Linked DNA regions of Oryzias latipes. The protein of the gene in region 2 interacts with the protein of the main gene of each other region in a pairwise test. Links are inferred from orthologs where the notes say so. Each region holds a gene or a part of one and is shown on either strand. Other genes may lie near its edges. The genes, in order: delta-type opioid receptor, ranbp9 and mkln1.

Region 1 (5,170 bases), on a different chromosome or scaffold from region 2:
TGGGTGGTGAAGGAGGGACGGAGATGGCTGATATTTAGCAAGTGGGAAAATGATGACTTGGTGATGTTGCTGATGTGGGACTGGAAGGATAGAGAGCTGTTGTGAACAACACCCAAACCACAACAACAAAAAACACACACAGCAACAAAAAGCAAGCACATAAAGTAAGATTTGTGTATTTTACTATTTAAGATATCTGTTAAGCTACATTCACACGGGCATTCATTAGACGGGGGTTCAAGAACGTACTAAAAACAGATTCTTGAAAGTGTATTTGGTCCATGGTGTTCACACTGGACAAGCAGGGGGGGGGGGGGGGGGGTTCTTATTATTATTATTTTTCTACTGTTTACTGGTGCATGTCCGCCACCTAGAGTTGGAACAGGCTCTGTGCGAAATATTGACACTGCAAAAATGTTGCTCCAGGTTTTTTCGTTCACAGCTCTATTCCAATATATGAAAGACTTGATGTCATTGAATTCTGGCTGGGAACAAACCACAATTATTTATTTCTCCTCTATAATCAATTTTAAAGCAGTTGGCACTTCTGTGATTAAAAGGGACGCCAGCCATATGTCACTACCAAAGTCCCTGACTTGTCAAAGTTTGACCTTAAAGTTGTGCAGAGTCCCAAAACACACACTACAGGTTCATTTACGCAAATTTAAATATTATTGGTAGTGGTAACTTGAACGTGCGTTGGCGAGGACGGTGTGACAGTAGCCTTACTGTAACTTCAGTTCTAATGGAACTATCATGTCTAAAATGTTTGTTTGTTTTTTTTGTGTGAAAGAATTTAATGGATTCTTGGTCAGGTGAGTTCCAACAGTACCTCAATCTGTCATTGTTAGCCACAAATCTCTGCTTACAGACTCTTCTAAGCAGCTCATTAACAGCAACAGTAATGAAGACATGCAGAACCAAAAGAGGCCAAAACAAAAATTGAGAAAATTACGTTTATTGGCAGATGATGAATTTATTGGTGTGGATGAAGCTTTACAGCCTTGATCAGAGTAGAAAGGCATTCAGATGTGCAGACGGTGCATGGTGTGATGGCTGCAGCCCTAAAGCAAGAATCTCCAGAAATTGAGAGCGAGAACAGAGGAGTCGAGAAACATTTTCAAAATCTCGTTGTCTTTTAACAGCCCCGTAAAAAAAAGCTCTTCCAGCTCATACAGAGCAGATTTTCTAACACTCAGGGAAAATGCATGACTGCTTTCTGCCACCCACAGTTGTAGACTTTTATTAGAAAAACTAGAAAACTTTATTAGTAAAACAATCTTCTAGTCTGGTCCCTTTACAAGTTTTCTTTTCAATAAATTTAACTCTAAGAGAAATAAATGTATGAATAAAAAAGCACTTACAACACTTTAACTCAAAAACAAGAACCATGGAGAAATTCCACTAGAAATAGAAAACTGTAAACCCAGCACAGACAGAGTTGTAAATCAAGCAGAAATATATTTCCGCATCAGTTTCGCTGAGTGCTTTGCATTTTTTTACTGCCTTTTCCTATTAAGAATTTTAAGCAAACTCACTTTATAGACCCACCAATATTTATTTTGCTCGTCTTCAGGCTTTAAATCTAGAAAAAGCTTTGCAGCTGAGCTGCTTTGATGTCCTAGTTCACCACATACAAATATATTAAACATGTTTTGCATGTTTGTGCAACAGACTGGATGCCTGTGCAGAAACTACAAAGCCTTTGGCCAACAGTAGTTAGGATAGGCTCCAGCAACCCCATTATCCTAAAAGGGATTAAACATGTTTCAAAAGAAGATGGATGTCTGCATTTTTCAAAAACAACATTAGCGTTTGTGTCAAACACACGTGTGCGACGTGAAATGAGTTTTGTCCTTCACGGCCCCCCCTTAGCTGTTTTGCCAAGTATGTTTGTCCCCACAGACCCCAAGATTGTGGACTGCAAGCTGATTTTCCCCCACCCCTCCTGGTACTGGGACACTCTGCTGAAGATCTGTGTGTTCATCTTTGCCTTCATCATGCCCGTCCTCATCATCACCATCTGCTACGGACTCATGATCCTGCGCCTGAAGAGCGTTCGAATGCTGTCAGGCTCACAGGTGCGACACTTTTCATCAACTTAGCCAAACAGTCACAAAAACTGAAACAAATCACTGATGACTATTTACAAATCATAGCAGAGCACTGCATGATAGGAAATGGTTTCATTCATTGATGTCAAGACAAAAAAATGAGGAAAAAATGAAGCTGTGGTTACAAAAACAAATATTTGCTCACCTTTTGTGTGAAATGCAATATTTTCATATATGATCTACTTACAGTGTTTACATTTTGGTTGCCTTTTATCCAGTTTTTTTAAAACACTGTTGCCTTTTACGAGCTCAGTATGCAAATCGAAAACCCCTTAAAGACCCATTCAATCATCTTTTGTGTTCCCAGTGGTCTTTTTAGTTATGATTATGCTGTTTTTTGGCAAAATCAAAAAAAACTGTCATTTTCTAGGACATAGTTTCTGCAGAGCGAAACTTGCCTAAATTCGCCTCTGAGTTGTGGGCGGGACTGTTGGCATGGGTTAAGCCTGCCTTGATTTCTAATCATTCATCTGATTACATTCTCTCCTGCTAGCTTACTGCGTCTTTCAACACCAACTTAACAATACAGCTGCAACAAAAGTGGTGAGCAATATTGGAACAATCCAGCCGTACAGTTTTGCTCCAGATTCCAGCTTAGATGTGGAAGAAAAGATCTATTTTTCTGGAAGTGGATGCATCAGAATGGAGCGGAGCAGGAAACTTGTGGCCTGCCAACTGTAGCTTTTATGTCACAGCTACAGTCTTTTTTCAAACAGCATTTTTTTGTCTGCTCCTAATTCACAATGATTTGGAAAAATAAAAAAAGATATACTCGGAAATACAATTTTAAGATTACATTTCGAAATTATCTTTTTTTATATGCTGTATGTCATCATAAAAAAAGGTTAGAAGAGTGTTTTAAAAACACTAAGACAACATTTTTACTGTAGTGGGTCTTCAATGTAATCTGTTGGTCACTCATGCCATTAGCATAAAATTAAAATAATTATCTGGACTGAATTGAATTATAATTAATCACATTCAATAAAGATCCATCTTTTTTGTGGCCTCAGTTGTGAATTGGGACTTTGTAGATATACTCAATTGGATACAACAAAAAAATGAGGTGAATGATTTTTACATTTTTTTTAAACCTAAAACTTTGCTCTTGCTTGATTTGAAATATATGTTCAGTGTCACTATCTCATTTATTGCACTGCTTTTAATTACATTATATTTTTTTAAACACGTTTTTTTATCTCTGTAAATTACTTTTCAGCACTTTTGTGCATTTGAAAAAGGACGGCCTTGCTTTTAGAAATGCTGGATTTCTATTACATTTTTCAGTGAATCGCAAGCATTACACTTGATCGGTTTTGTACTTTTTGTGTGTTCTGAAAGGGCCTCTCTGCCGGTACTTAGCTGTTGTTGTGAATCGCAGGAGAAAGACAAGAACCTCCGTCGTATCACTCGCATGGTACTGGTGGTGGTGGCCGTCTTCATCGTCTGCTGGACCCCCATCCATGTGTTTGTCATCATCACTGCACTGATCAACATTCCCAGCTCCACACTTCAAACCATCACCTGGCATTTTTGCATCGCCTTGGGCTACACAAACAGGTAAAAATCCATTTGGCAGCTGTGTGGGCATTTATAGAGAGCATGTATAGAGAGGGCATTTAAACAAGATTTAATGAGAGAAACTGTTCATTGTCGTTTACTAAAAGGATTTTTTTTATCTCACCACTTGCAAAAAAGAAAAGGATTTTGTTAAATAGTGTTACATTTTGAGTTTTTGTTCAGCTAGCATTGTTAACCCATGACCCTATTTTTGCCCAATGCAGTAGCCTTAACCCGGTTCTTTACGGTTACCTGGACGAGAACTTCAAGCGCTGTTTCCGTGAGTTTTGCACCCCGAGTCCTTCCGTACTGGAGATTCAAAACTCCTCCAGAACTGGAGCCACCAGCCGCAAGGTCCCGAAGCGTGAACACAACAGTGCAAACACAGGGGAGAGGTCCAACCAACAGGTAGCCAGCGTCTGTGTAAGCACATATGAGTAATCTTGAACCAGATCTGATCAAAAGGATGTTGAAAACGTGAAACTGATTTGCCACTGAAATCCGCTTTTCCTTCTTAGTATGAATTAACTTTCTTTATAACATTTATGGTAACAACATAAACTTTTCCTAAATACAAGAAATTATAATGATTAATTATAGTATTAATTGTGCAACACTTGGGCATTTAAATCCTATATAACAAAATGAGAAACTAGATTTATATGCAAATTAGAAATCATCATAATTAATAATTATAATAATTTATAATAATCATTATTATGCAAAGCCATTTTATTTTCAGTGATTTTTTTTACAAGTCATCTTATATTTCAGTTTACCTGCTATATTTTTTAAATTAAGATTCATGTTATCCTATTTTTGTGATTATACCATGAAATAAATCTCACTCTTTATAACAATTAACAAAAAACAATTTCAATTGAACATTAAAAGCTTCAGATTAAACATGGTATAAAATACTATATTTTAAAAAAAATAGATGGAAAGTATAAAGTTTTTCACAGCTGGCTGTTTCTGCTTGGAAATGTTTTTTGTAAAAAAGACTTGCAAAACATTTGCAAGTTATTGTATTTAATGAAAAAAACAGCCAAAATGCATGAACACTGTTATATTAGTTATGCTATGTAATAAAAAAAACATCAAATACAAAAATAGAAGCATAAATATTCACCTTTTTTCTGGAGCATTATACATTTTTTGGGTGATAGATCTTTAAAAAAAAAAAAAGTATAGTCACCCAAAAAAGAAAAAAAACTAATACTTAAACAATAACAGTGTTAGGGCTTCTTCATCCAAGCAAATATGGTTTTTAGGAACAAAAATAGCAGAATTCTGCCTAAATGTGGCAAGAATTTAAGCTAAAGACAAATACAAACGAAAAACTGAAAGTTCATAAATATTGAAAACACTGCAAGATTTCAACATGTGACATTTTTGCTACAAAAAACAGAATACAAATACATCACTGTCATAATAAATACACCCAAAAAAATCCTGTTTTTTAAGATTTGGGGTTTGTAAATAACTAATTGGTC
Region 2 (5,949 bases):
CGCGTCACTGAATAAGCCGCAGGGCTGTAAGCGCAGGAAAAAAGTAGCAGCTTGTAGTCCGGAAATTACGGTACATATTACACTCGGGATGCAACACTTTAAACCTCGGTTTTTGGGTTATGGATTTGTTTCGGTTTGGGTATTACAAAACAACAACAGAAATTCAGAAAATTCTTTATTTTTTTATTTGCAAATAAGCATCTTAAACCGAAAATTGTGGCATCCCTAAATCACTCGCTCCTTAACGTACCGTAACTCTCAAACCGTTTCCACGATCAACGAGAAAAGCAGCTTTACAAATCGGCTCTGCGTCCTTATGCAGCCCTTTACATTAGTAACAGCGCCTTTATGTGCGACAGAATCAGCTGATTAACATAAACACTTCACAACTGTAAAGTGTTTCATACCAGAGCAAAGCTGCTTTTCTCCACTTCAAAATCAGCTGGAATTCCATCGAGAGCTGAAAGAAGCTCCAATGTTGAACAAGATTTTCATACATATCACACGTGCATAACCTAAAGCATGTTTAGGTTGTTTTTAATTAAAAAACAAAAAAACCTTACCTGTGAATAAAGTAACTGCAGCCTAAACATTAGAACTTTTTTTACTTTCCAACTGTTTCTTACAGAAGTTATCCATGTTCTTGCTTTTCACTAGAGGCCTTGATACCTTTTTTTTAATGTATTTATAAAATGTGCATTTTGGATTAACTTGAGTTTACTGAGTTTGGAGAAATTTAAAAAAATCCTTGTGACAATGAAACAAAAAACTTCAAGAAGAGGGCAGACGCATTCTCACATTTTTCTCTTCTATTTATCGAAAAAAAAATTTTTTCATTTGATGAAGAAATCCGAACAGGAAGTGTCCGTTTGCAGGATGCTGCTGCTGACGGAGTCCAGATGGACCAGAGCTGCCACGCAGCAGTAAAACCGGCAGGACTTTCTCCAGGATGGGATTTGCAGCCTGTTGCTGTGATTACTTGCTGTGAATGGATTTAATCTGTTTGGTACAGATTGAGGGTGAGGGTGGGGTGAGACGGGGCCGCATGTGCGATTATCCACATAGAGCCGGTCCAAAGGTCCTTTTTTTCTCTTTTAAACCAATCCAGATTGTTTTTCCTTTTGAGTTATTCATTAATCTTTACAGATTTTTTTAAATATATAAAACGCATGATATCCTGCCGATGGTGGGGCAACTTTGTCCTGTTAGCTTTGCTGTGACCTCATTTCTGCTGCGCCTCATGGACCTCACTGAGTTCCAGTCCTTTCTTGTCTCGTCAGGATGGTGGCGTCCTACCTGGTGCACCACAGCTACTGCGCCACAGCCGAAGCCTTCGCAAAGTCCACGGACCAGGCCGTGCAGGAGGAGCTGGCCTCCATCAAAAACAGACAGAGTGAGTCTGCGAAACGCCGCAAAGTAAAACTGCAGTATCCAGAGACTTGCTGGTCAAATTAAAGCACAGCTCTGCCTAAAAGTCTTCTTCCCTCCAGCACGCCCTTAACCCCCCCATATAAATGTTAAAAGTATAGGGGTTAAATGTATATGACGTTTAGCAGCACTGACATTCACGTGTTTTTGGCTGCAGAGATCCAGAAGTTGGTTTTGTCGGGTAGAATGGGTGAAGCCATCGAGACCACCCAGCAGCTGTACCCCAACCTCCTGGAACGGAACCCGGACCTCCTCTTTATGCTCAAGTAGGAACACACACACACAAACACACCTCATCCATAAATCTTCAGAACCCGCTGGATCCCCTTCAGGGTCGTAGGAAAGCTGCTACTGCTGGGCCAAGGCGGGGCACACCCATTCTGATGCAGAGCCACACACTCGCATGCACGCCTAGAGGGAGTTTAGAGAAGCATGTTTTTAGACTGTGAGAGGAAGCCAGAGTGGCCGAAGAAAACCCACACATGCAGGAGGACAAGCAAACTCCACACAAATGCTCCCAGCTGGGACGAGAGCGCTAACATGCACACAAACACAGAATCTTAAAACTGCCTAATAATCTATTTGGTGTGAGGAGCATACAAGGATTGTAAAATCACAATATGAAAGTCAATATGCGAGTCGTGTTGGAGTAGTGGTTAGCACTCTTGCCTCATAGTGAGAAGGCCCTGGTTTGAATCAAAGGGTTCCTTTCTGTGTGGAGTTTGCATGTGCTCGTGTATGTGTGGACGCCGGACACACCAGCTTATGCTCTGTGTGTTCAGTGATTCTGGGATATGGTGGGTTCAGAAAATGGATGGATGGAGTATAGGCCAGGAAAAAAACAATAGTCTAGGATCTATGAAAAATACTGTTATATTTCCATGTGTGTGGGGGGCAGATGTTTGGTATTGAAGGAGGTTAGTTTAAGGGGTAAAAGTTTATCGTAGGAGATAAATCCTGAGTTTCACTCAGGTGGGAGTGTCTTTTAACGATGATTTTTGGCGATTATTAATTCCTACTTCTTTGGTTGAGCTCTGTGTCCCTCATTTTCAGGGTGAGACAGTTCATCGAGATGGTGAACGGGACGGACAGCGAGGTGAGGTGTCTGGGGGGCCGCAGCCCCAAGTCTCAGGACAGTTACCCTGGCTCGCCGCGCTCCTTCAGCAGCCCGGGCCACAAAGCCGGCAGCTCGCAGTCCTACCTCACCGGTACAGTCCCGCGCTTGGCCATGAGCCCCCACCCTGCAGCCGCTCTGATCCCTGCTGCTGGTTTGTTTGCAGGGGTCGACAGCAACTGCTGTAATGGCGTGGCATCAAGTAAGAGCCACAGCTCCTCCCCTCACAGTCACAAGCCCTGCCCCCCTGGCTCTGGCTCCACCCTCCCAGTCACCGACGTTAGTCTGAATGGGAGCCGCAGCCAGCTGCCCATCACAAGGTACAGTCTTAGTTTAGGACTGAGGTTAGATGTCTGCACCTGCTGACCCTGCATCCCCCCCACTTTACAGCAACGACGTGGACATGGAGGTCGACCACTTCACCAACGGAGTGACAGAACTATCCTCTAATGGTTTCCTCAATGGCACGTCCAAGCACGCCACGGAGCCGGAGGACTGCGACGCAGACATGGGTGGGTGCAGAGGCGGAGCCTCCTGCGTGGCGCTTGCTTTGCCTTCAGCAGCTTTTGAAACGGCCTGCAATGCTTTTCCCGTGATGGACGCGCTTTCACACAGCAAAGTCCAGGGATTTTTCTCCTGCCGTTAAGTTTGAGTGTCATCAGATCACTGACTGTTTCCTCCCCACCTCAGAGGTGGAGTCCGCTCAGGTCAAGAGGCAGCTGTGCGGGGGGAGCCAGGCCGCCATCGAGAGGATGATCCATTTCGGCAGGGAGCTCCAGAGCATGAGTGAACACCTCCGCCGCGAGTGTGGCAAGAACTCTGCCAACAAGAAGATGCTGAAGGTGAAGTCAGAGTTCGGCCCTGACAAACGTCTCATTTTCAGAACCTAATATTGACCTAAAGTTTTGGTTCTGAGACTTTTGTCGTTCATGTGCAAACTTTAAAATAAAGTTTAGTGTAAATGAAAACAATATTTTTACTTATCAAATTCCAAAACTCCATGTTTGTTTTTTCCTCCGCTGTGGATTCATAAAAATCCACCTTAGAAATCTTGCTGCACTGAATGAGATCAGCTCTAATCTCTAGAGATTACCCACACGGCTCATATTCCATGACATCAGTCTGCATGTGGCTCAGAAGCTTTGACACTGTTTTCCTGACAAAAAAGATGAAAATGTCACGGGACAAAAGAGAAACGTCCTGCAGCTGCAGAGGACAGAAACGGTCATGTCTGATGGTTCCTTGTCTCCCGCTGAAGGACGCGTTCAGCCTGCTGGCCTACTCGGACCCCTGGAGCAGCCCGGTCGGCTACCAGCTGGACGCCATTCAGAGGGAGCCGGTCTGCTCCACTCTCAACAGTGCAATATTAGGTGGGTCAGCTGCGGCTTTGGCAGGCGGAAGGAAGTCCAACACGATGCTGGTCGGGCTTTGTTCTGCAGTGACTCTGCAGCCTGGGTGTGAGAGTCAGATCTGCAGTGACTCATCAGGAGGGGAATGGACTGACTGACGGTCAGCTGATGGCTGCACTTCATTCATCATCTCACTGAATGAAACACTTTCATTTTGATTCGGAGCTGAAATCACAGATTTGTAACAGAGATCCTGCTGTGGAAGGACTTTCAATTTCTATTGAAAGGACTTTCAATAGAAATTTTTCCCTTTTTCCCCCGATGATTTTAAAGTCTCACTCCACTCATCTTTAATGTATTTTCAAAGCGTTTCCTGTGTTGTTTTTAAATAATGATTATGCCGTTTTTAGCTCAAATCAAAAAACCTGTTTAGTTTCCTAGAACATAGTTTCTGCAGAGCGGCAGCATTTTATCAGAAATTTAGCTCACAGTTGTGGACGCGACTTTTGCCGTACAGCACTGCTTCTCAATTATTTTTTGCACCCCCCCCCCCTTAGGAAAAAGACAAATTTTCACGCGCCCCCAACCCCCACCATCCATGTTTATTTATGATCAGCTGTTTTCTTGCATTACCTGCTGTCTTTCGGTCAAATACTGACACCAACTAAACGACAGGCAGACAAAGAATACATTGATGGAAAACAAAGACATGTCATCAAAATGTCAACAATAGTTCATAAAGAATGACATTAGAATGAGCTGAGTAATCTAAAGGCCCGTGATGATCCTGGTGCTGCGCAATCCAGGCAGCTCTCCGCGTTCCACCTGCAGCCTGAGCCCACTACCCCTCCCCCTTCCTTCTCAAAGACAGGAGCAGCTGGAGGGACGGCAGTTCACAGTTTCAGGCTGTTATAAACTCTGTCATATAACAGATAATAGGAAACCAACAGTGGCGCAAATTTTTTCCAAGTTCTGAGCCGCTGTCACCACGACCCCCGTATTGCCCGTATTACCTGTGGCTAAAACCGCTACTACTGCGTGCCCCCCCTTGTATCGCATCAGGCCCCCGCCCCACTATTTGAGAAGCACTGCTGTTGAGTAATCCTGCCCTCATTTTCCATGATCACGTTGTTTACATGCTCCTCCGCTAGCTTACAGCCCCTCTCAACTAACATTAACAGTTTGACAAAAACGGTGACCAAATCTGTAAAATGTCCTTGTATTTTTCACCAACCTGTTGTTGGAAAATACCTGGTGATCAGCTGAAGGATGGAGAATTCTGTGGAGATAAATATTAGCGGCCCAGACCGCTAATAGAGGCCACATTTCCTGATTGGCGTCTTCCTTTTTTTTCTTCTCTCAAGTAAAATCAAATGTAGTTTTTGTTAAAGAATTCTTGATGATGATCAAAGCTCCCAAAACAGTGTTTACTGCTGAAAAGTGGGGAACTGCGTGGAAGCAGAAGCTCCGCCCCGTCAGGTTTGAAAGCTCTTTGAGGATCTTCCCGATCAAGGAGTTGTTTTTTCAGGATGATCCCAGGTTTTCGGTGAAAAAAATGTCCAGAAGCGTTTCACCAAACTCTGGAGGTTTTCTGCTTTTGTTTCTCCAAGAGTCTGAACTTCTTTGGAGTCTACAATACTATCCTATTGTGAAGGAGCGACTCCTCAAGCACCTCCTCACTTTTTTTCTTTCTGTCCTTCCAGAGACTCACAACCTTCCCAAGCAGCCCCCCCTGGCCCTGGCGGTGGGTCAGGCCGCCCAGTGCCTCGCCATCATGGCTCGAACAGGCAGCGGCTCCTGCGCCTTCGCCTCTGTGGACGATTATCTGCACTAGCCACATGCGCACACACAAACACAATCTCTAAAGGCCTGTCTGGTCATGACCCCCCTCCCAGAACCAACACCACCACAAGTGTAGTCCTCTTATCCGAGGGACCCCCCCTCTCTGCACGACGGCTAGAAACAAACCATCTCACTCGCTCCTTGTTCCGCTTTGACACAGACGCCACAGAGGTATGTGCGCGTGCGTGCGGGGGGGGTCACTCCTGGGGAGACCTT
Region 3 (6,560 bases), on a different chromosome or scaffold from region 2:
GGAAGCAACTATCCCCTGCTTCGCGTCGGACGGGTCAGGCTTCCACGGCGTGCGTTAAAAAGTGATATTGCGCACTCCGTCGGCCATTAACCCTTACCTAACCCTTCTTCCGGGTCAGGTTGGCCAAGAATAAGGCACTGGCCGCACGGATTTAAAGAACTATAAGCGAACAAGCACTTAATAATAATCATAACAATAATAAAAGCCTGTTTAGAAGACCATCTCGCTCTATGCTGCAGCTTCGTTTGTTTACAAAGGAACTCACAATTTCTTCTTCTACTGTCGTACCGTCATTTGTCCAGACCAATCACTGTCTTACAACTCATCTGACCAACGTACAGCCAATCAAATAGTGTGACGTCATCATTAGTCGTAGGGCCTCGAACACTTATTGCAGGCCGAACACCGGTCATGTATGAATCCAAACTCCCAATTGAAGTCTCCGAGCAATGTGTGCGCGCACGATTGCACAACAGTAAGAGCACAATTGATTAATCCGTGGGAACGTTTTATCAGATTTTGTTTGTTTTTTCAACCACTGGCACCTGGGGGGCTTCCTATGTTTCATTTTGCTAGACCTTCAAAAACTACAACTTGTTAAGCAACAATACCAAAAGCAAAGTGTTGTGTTGTGCAGACAGAAAAACAGAACACTGTCATGGTTTTTCATTTCAACTGGAGGAGCTGAACACTATTGGGAGAAAAACAGGCACAAGTGAAAAGTTGCTGCTTCAAAAGGATTCATTTGTTGCTTGGTATATGCCTCATTTGTTTCTGCTTTGGTTTACATTCCTACATGAAGATGTGTAAAAACAAACAAACAAAAAGAATAACCTGTGACAACAGTCTCCTCTCAAACCGTTAGGAATGTGGCGACGTTGTGAAGCCAGCTACCTGAACTCTCTGCACTCAGAAACAAATCTTAAACACAGGTTTACACGCATAAAATCACTTCATATAATACAAGGAGTTTAAATGATTAGAATTATCTACATTTACAGATTTTTTGAGGTTGACTTTTTTTCTTGAGAGTTCACAGATAACCAGCTTCACTATCTGATTAATTCAGCGGACAAGCCTACCTGTGGAGGGTAGTTGCTCTCAGAAGACCACCTGGAAGACTGATCGTTCGGTTTATCCACCAAAATATTCCTAGAGAATAAGCAAAGCTAGGTCAGGAAACTTCCAGAAAGTAAAAGACGCAGATAAACCATCAGAAAAAGATGGCTTCAGAATAGAACAGCAGGTGCATTTGGAACGTTAAACTGACCAGGCCGAAGATCACTGACGGAAAATATTTGGAACTTCACAAACCCAAATTTTTTATATTTTTCATACAGATCTTAAAGAAAATCACACTTTTTACCAATATTTTGCTCCGAAGAATTCCCACATTACACACAGGCCTGTTGATATAGCGTAATGTCAGCAGTTTTTGGGAGCAGTTTCACTAACCCTTCCTAACCCTCAGCCATAAATTCACAAATCTGACTAAATAAAAATTAATCAATGCTAAAGAAAAAAAAAGAACTAAAGTATGATTGAATTTTAAAATGATTAAAAATTAATTTTTCTTCAGCCACAGAGACAAAATCAAGGGTAAAAAGAGCTGATTCGGCTTCTGAGCTTCGGTAGCAGGCACTATATATATATATATATATATATATATATATATATATATAGTGCGTTCGCCATTTTGTTGTGCGGTCCGAATCTACAATTCCAAAATCGAGTGCACTGGAAATTTTAAACTAGATAGGCGTATATAGACCACAATGCATTGCATCGGAACACTTTTTGCCAAAAAAAATTTATTTAAATGTTTTCTTTAAATAAACCATCAATGTATTTATTTTAAATGTTTTTAAGACAGGGGACTCATAAATAATAGTCGCAAAATGCTCATATCAATTAGATTTTAGCTTTGTGAAATCCATGTAAAAAAAAGTAGTGAGCTTGGTGTCCGAATTGCTTCTAAAATTCAGGGGTTAGGGTGAGAATTCGGAAAGAGAGACCTGAACTGAGACCAGAGACCACGTTGGATAAATATGGGGATTGGATTGTTAGAATTTAGACCAGGGGTCAGCAACCTGCGGCTCCGGAGCCCCATGCAGCTCTTTCATCCTTGTGCTGCGGCTCTCTGTGTTTTTGTAAAATAACTATCATGTTCTAAAATTTTCGTGGTCGTGTAGTGCAAAGCGGGCAGGAGGAAGAGAGGTCCGTGAGCATGCGGATTTGGCGTGTCTGCAGCTGTGAACGCCGACCAGAGTCTGTAATGGGATGGAAAGTTTTTCTAAAACGACAGTCAGTGGCGGAAAAAAAAAGCCATTTTTTTCCCCCTAGACTCGAACCACCCATTTCTGCGTAAAATCTATTAAATTTGCATTAGGGCGCCCCTACTATCCTGTCAACTGTCTGCTATGATGACCGTATTTTGCGCTGTCTGTGTAGAACATGCTGGGGGGGGGGGGTTGCACGCAGGGGAAAAGACCCGCAACAAACTAAGCTTCCTAATAAAAAATAATTTTCATCCATAAAATGAATACACTTTATTGGGTTTACTGGATTTAAAGAAAAAACAAATATAGAAACGAGTCTGAATCAAAGTAAATGTTTCCATCATCTCACTTATCTTAGCTCTGGGTGTTTGACAGAAATGTCTATTCAAGGTTGTGGGAAAACAAAAAAAGATCAAAGGAAACATCACGTTCATAAAAAATTAAAATGAATAATTAAATAAATATTCTGACAGCATTTTTAATCAATACAAGTATCGCCAAATGAACTATTGCGATATATCGGTGGAACGATTTTTTTCTAACAGCCCCAGTGTTGTGGCTCCCTGTGCTTTCATTTCTGTGGGAAACTGATCCAATTGGCTCTTTGAGAGGTTCAGGTTGCAGACCCCTGATCTAGACCAATCAGCAGGCTGGTTGATGGCAGCTTTGTCAGCTAAACTGACACTTATAAGAGCAAAATCAAAGATAGGAAAAGATGAGACACAACGCATGTGAAAACATTTGTGTTGCAAATGCAAAAATATTTTTTTAAATGAAAAAAGAAAAAAAATGAAAGCAATAAAAACTAAAGGAAAAAGAAAAAAAGGATTTTCGTTTGCAGCTTAGGAAGTTTTGTGTGCTACGTGGTGGCATAAATATATCACTCCATAAAAATTCAGAAATTAATGAATGGATCAAAATACCGCTTTGGGGTTTAGTGAGGAATTAACATAATACACTTAAAAACTCAAAACGTTGATTTAGCATGATATGGGCCCTTTAAAAACGACCATGTCAAACAATTTGGCTGCACAGCATTTATTTTCTTATAAAATTATAATATTTTCCCACATATGTTTTTAGGATAGGGGGTTAACAATAGCATGTGATAGATAAAGCAAAAACTTGAAGTATGTTCGAATGGAATTTAATGCATTCTCTTTTATCTTCTTATGTAACAGAATTTCACATAAAACAAACGATGGAGAAAAAAACTCGTAATGTTTATGTTTAGCATCACAACAGACTGTTAGCTTCCACATTCTGCTGTTGTGGTAAGCTAGCTTGACTTTCACGCCGCCGCAAGAGCTGACACAGTAATCAGTTATACTGCTTGATGTTAGATATCTCAATGTTTAATGAGAATTAAATGCATGAATGCGCTGAAAAGTTTGGCAGTTCGCTTGTCAGGTCTTGTTTCAGGGAACCGCTCATTAGCATAGCAGCTATGAGGTTAGATAACAGGAGTTACCTTCATCTGAGTCCCGACGGCCTGCGTTAAATATTTGTATGCTTGGTGCCGGTGTGCGGACGGCCGCACCAAACTACCAAAATGTTTAAAATTCTAACATTTCTGCCCTCCGGTAATTTAAACAACCTCCAAAATAGGACCCCATGAAAAGTCATATTGCTGACTGATACTGTTTGTCTATTAAAAATGTATCGTTTTGTTAACATTTGCTAACTTTATGAGACGAACCTCTAATTTACACATGTCTCTTTGGACCACCAACACAACATCATCAAATTTAGGTGCAAAGTTGACTAAAAAGTTCCCAGGATGGTTTTTAAGGACTACTTAATACCTCATACCACTCTGTCTGACAAACTGCTCGGGCGTTTAAGTGTCGCCGGAGTGCCAGCGCGTTCAAACCAAACGAACCCACCACCACCACGACAGCTAAGCTAGCTGAGCCGGACCCCAGACGAGCCAGGCCAGGCGGGTCGGCGAAACCATCAACAGGGAAACTGAGGCCACCTGCAAGTACAGATATTGCAGCGCACGGTCGTGCCAAATACTCACTCTGGTAAATATGTCGAGGAGTAGGAACTCCATTTAAAAAGGCTGTAAGTGAGGATTCTGCTCTCAGGAGCGACGGCCATTTTGATGCATGAAAAAAACAGATAGCAGGAGGCTAACAGGGAACGAGCTGCGACTTAAAGAGACAGTACACTTGTTTTCTTATTTTGATATGTTTATTATACTAAAATCTGTTGCATTTTCCAAACCAATGTTGTATTAAAAAAATGTATGTATGTGTATATATATATATGTATGTATGCATGTATGTATGTATGTATGTATGTATGTATGTATGTATGTATGTATGTATGTATGTATGTATGTATGTATGTATGTATAGACGTAACTTTTTTTTAAATAAAAGTTTTGAAATGTTGATTGTAATCACAATTTAAAAAATTGATGCTGCATAACCAAGTAATGACAATATCTGGAGGAAGGAACATGAGAAACTAAAAAAAACCCATCTCTTTTCATCCTCTGCAGCCAGGTGGTTTCTTACACAATTTTGGCTCTCTATCAGAGGCATGGGAGCTAGAGGTTTTTGTGCAGGATTTTTGATGTTCCTAGCTTTTCTGACAGTTTGACAACTGGACAATAAGTTATCGACCGGGTGACCAATTATGTGGAGAGCGGACAAAAACCTGTTGACCAGCCCCCACATCACATCGGCCCACTTTCAGTGATCAGTATACCCGACAGCCATTCCACCCCATGGCCCGGGTGCTGTCATACCTGAGAATCCAGCCATTGAGACCAGCCATTGAGCGTTGCTGTTGTGTGCTTTCTCTCCCACATACTTTTCCAGTATTGTTCAGTTTCCAGCCTTGGTGGGTCTGCTCTGCTGTTGTGACCCCTCCACTGAGTGTGTTGCAGGTTGAGTTGGGAACAGCCTGTTTATCTGCCTGGCTTCATTTTTGGCAGTTTCTAGTGCTTCAGGTACGGGAATTTCCCTGTAACTCTTGGGAACTTGCTTTTTCATTGGACCTCTCTGGGCCTCTTTTATGAACACATTTTAAGACAGTCATCAAGCAGCGAAATCGCCAGGTGTCGAAAAGAGAGGCACCAAATGCGAATTTTTAGCGCAAATCACATTTGGTGTGAATGCAGCATTACACTTTATAACATATTATACATAGATCTTTCAGAAGCAGAACATAGTCTTATGTAGAAGTAGCATTTTGGGAAATGTTTTGCATTTCTTTCAACATTTTACCCTTGATTACATGTTTGAGCCATTTAAATGTTTCCATATTTAGAATAGAACTTTATTGATCACACAATGGGAAAAAAGATTTACCACAGCCCTATACAAACAGCAGATAACAAATAACACCATCTAAACTTGTTTTTGTCCCTTTCTGGGTCACAGGGCTGCCGGAGCCTATCCCGACCTCTCTTTGGTGAGGGTAGGGTGCACCCAGGACAGGTTTCCAGTCTGTTTTTTTAAATAATAAGACCAAACAAACCAGCTCTTACCACTGTTCTAGAACTGAGAAAGCCAACTAAGAACAGATGAAATATCTTAAAGATTAACTGAGTCCAGTTGACTGCTTCAGAACCTGCTACTTGGATAAAAGCTTTATAAAAAAGGTTTTAAAGATCTTACTTTAACCCTTGTGCTATCTTAGATGACCCCACCCTTACATTGACGTGTTCTCCCTGACATGACAAAGGTGAATAAAGGTGGAAAGATTTCATGTAATCCATGGACACCAGAGAAGATCACAAATCATTGAAGAAAAAAGGTTCAGAGCACTGTTTAAAGGGTCTAGATGACCCAACTCCCAATGGTAAAGTGCCTAGGATAGCACAAGGGTTAAAGGAAAGAGCTTGTGATAAAAAAACAGGCAATTGTTAACCATTTTCATTTTTTTTGTTGTGTTTTTTGTTTAGTAACCAGCCAGATGAAGTCGGCGTTGTTGGCTGTTCAGAGACGTTCAACAACAAACAACAGTCAGCACCAGGAGGAGTCCTTAGTTACACTCAGTTTAATCAAAGCAGCTTTTCAAAACTTAAACAGGAGGTCAGGTTAACTTGAAGCAATATGCAAAGCAATACATTTGCTAAAAAATGATCAGCATTTTAGGTGATGGAATGATATCTTTTAGGTTTCTTCTTCACTTCGGGAGAGATTCTTCTGTCATATTTCTCATTCAGCCTTGATTTGTCTTCTGAACAGAACAACCAGCAAGTGTCTTTTCACGCTTCCGACAACATTTGAAAGACTTCAGACTGAAGCATGGACTGAGTAATGA

Evidence for each region.
Region 1: the proteins of ranbp9 (region 2) and delta-type opioid receptor interact in binary tests that used the Homo sapiens proteins (3 or more experiments, as listed by UniProt). The link is inferred for Oryzias latipes from reciprocal best matches to the Homo sapiens genes RANBP9 and OPRM1.
Region 3: the proteins of ranbp9 (region 2) and mkln1 interact in a two-hybrid assay, tested with the Homo sapiens proteins (2 studies listed by BioGRID). The link is inferred for Oryzias latipes from reciprocal best matches to the Homo sapiens genes RANBP9 and MKLN1.

What each region holds. Positions count from the first base shown.
Region 1 is NC_019873.2:17,200,871-17,206,040, forward strand, and holds part of delta-type opioid receptor, read left to right. Parts: intron 1-1,905; coding exon 1,906-2,081; intron 2,082-3,495; coding exon 3,496-3,674; intron 3,675-3,898; coding exon 3,899-4,097; intron 4,098-5,170. UniProt on the Homo sapiens protein: Receptor for endogenous opioids such as beta-endorphin and endomorphin. Receptor for natural and synthetic opioids including morphine, heroin, DAMGO, fentanyl, etorphine, buprenorphin and methadone.
Region 2 is NC_019875.2:8,732,734-8,738,682, reverse strand, and holds the end of ranbp9 (ran-binding protein 9), read left to right. Parts: intron 1-1,280; coding exon 1,281-1,393; intron 1,394-1,585; coding exon 1,586-1,694; intron 1,695-2,481; coding exon 2,482-2,636; coding exon of another isoform or gene 2,637-2,708; coding exon 2,709-2,862; intron 2,863-2,932; coding exon 2,933-3,054; intron 3,055-3,232; coding exon 3,233-3,384; intron 3,385-3,800; coding exon 3,801-3,912; intron 3,913-5,594; coding exon 5,595-5,725; downstream 5,726-5,949. UniProt on the Homo sapiens protein: May act as scaffolding protein, and as adapter protein to couple membrane receptors to intracellular signaling pathways. Acts as a mediator of cell spreading and actin cytoskeleton rearrangement.
Region 3 is NC_019881.2:8,983,523-8,990,082, forward strand, and holds the start of mkln1 (muskelin), read right to left. Parts: upstream 4,434-6,560; 5' UTR 4,383-4,433; coding exon 4,303-4,382; exon of another isoform or gene 3,229-4,302; intron 1,153-3,228; coding exon 1,083-1,152; intron 1-1,082. UniProt on the Homo sapiens protein: Component of the CTLH E3 ubiquitin-protein ligase complex that selectively accepts ubiquitin from UBE2H and mediates ubiquitination and subsequent proteasomal degradation of the transcription factor HBP1.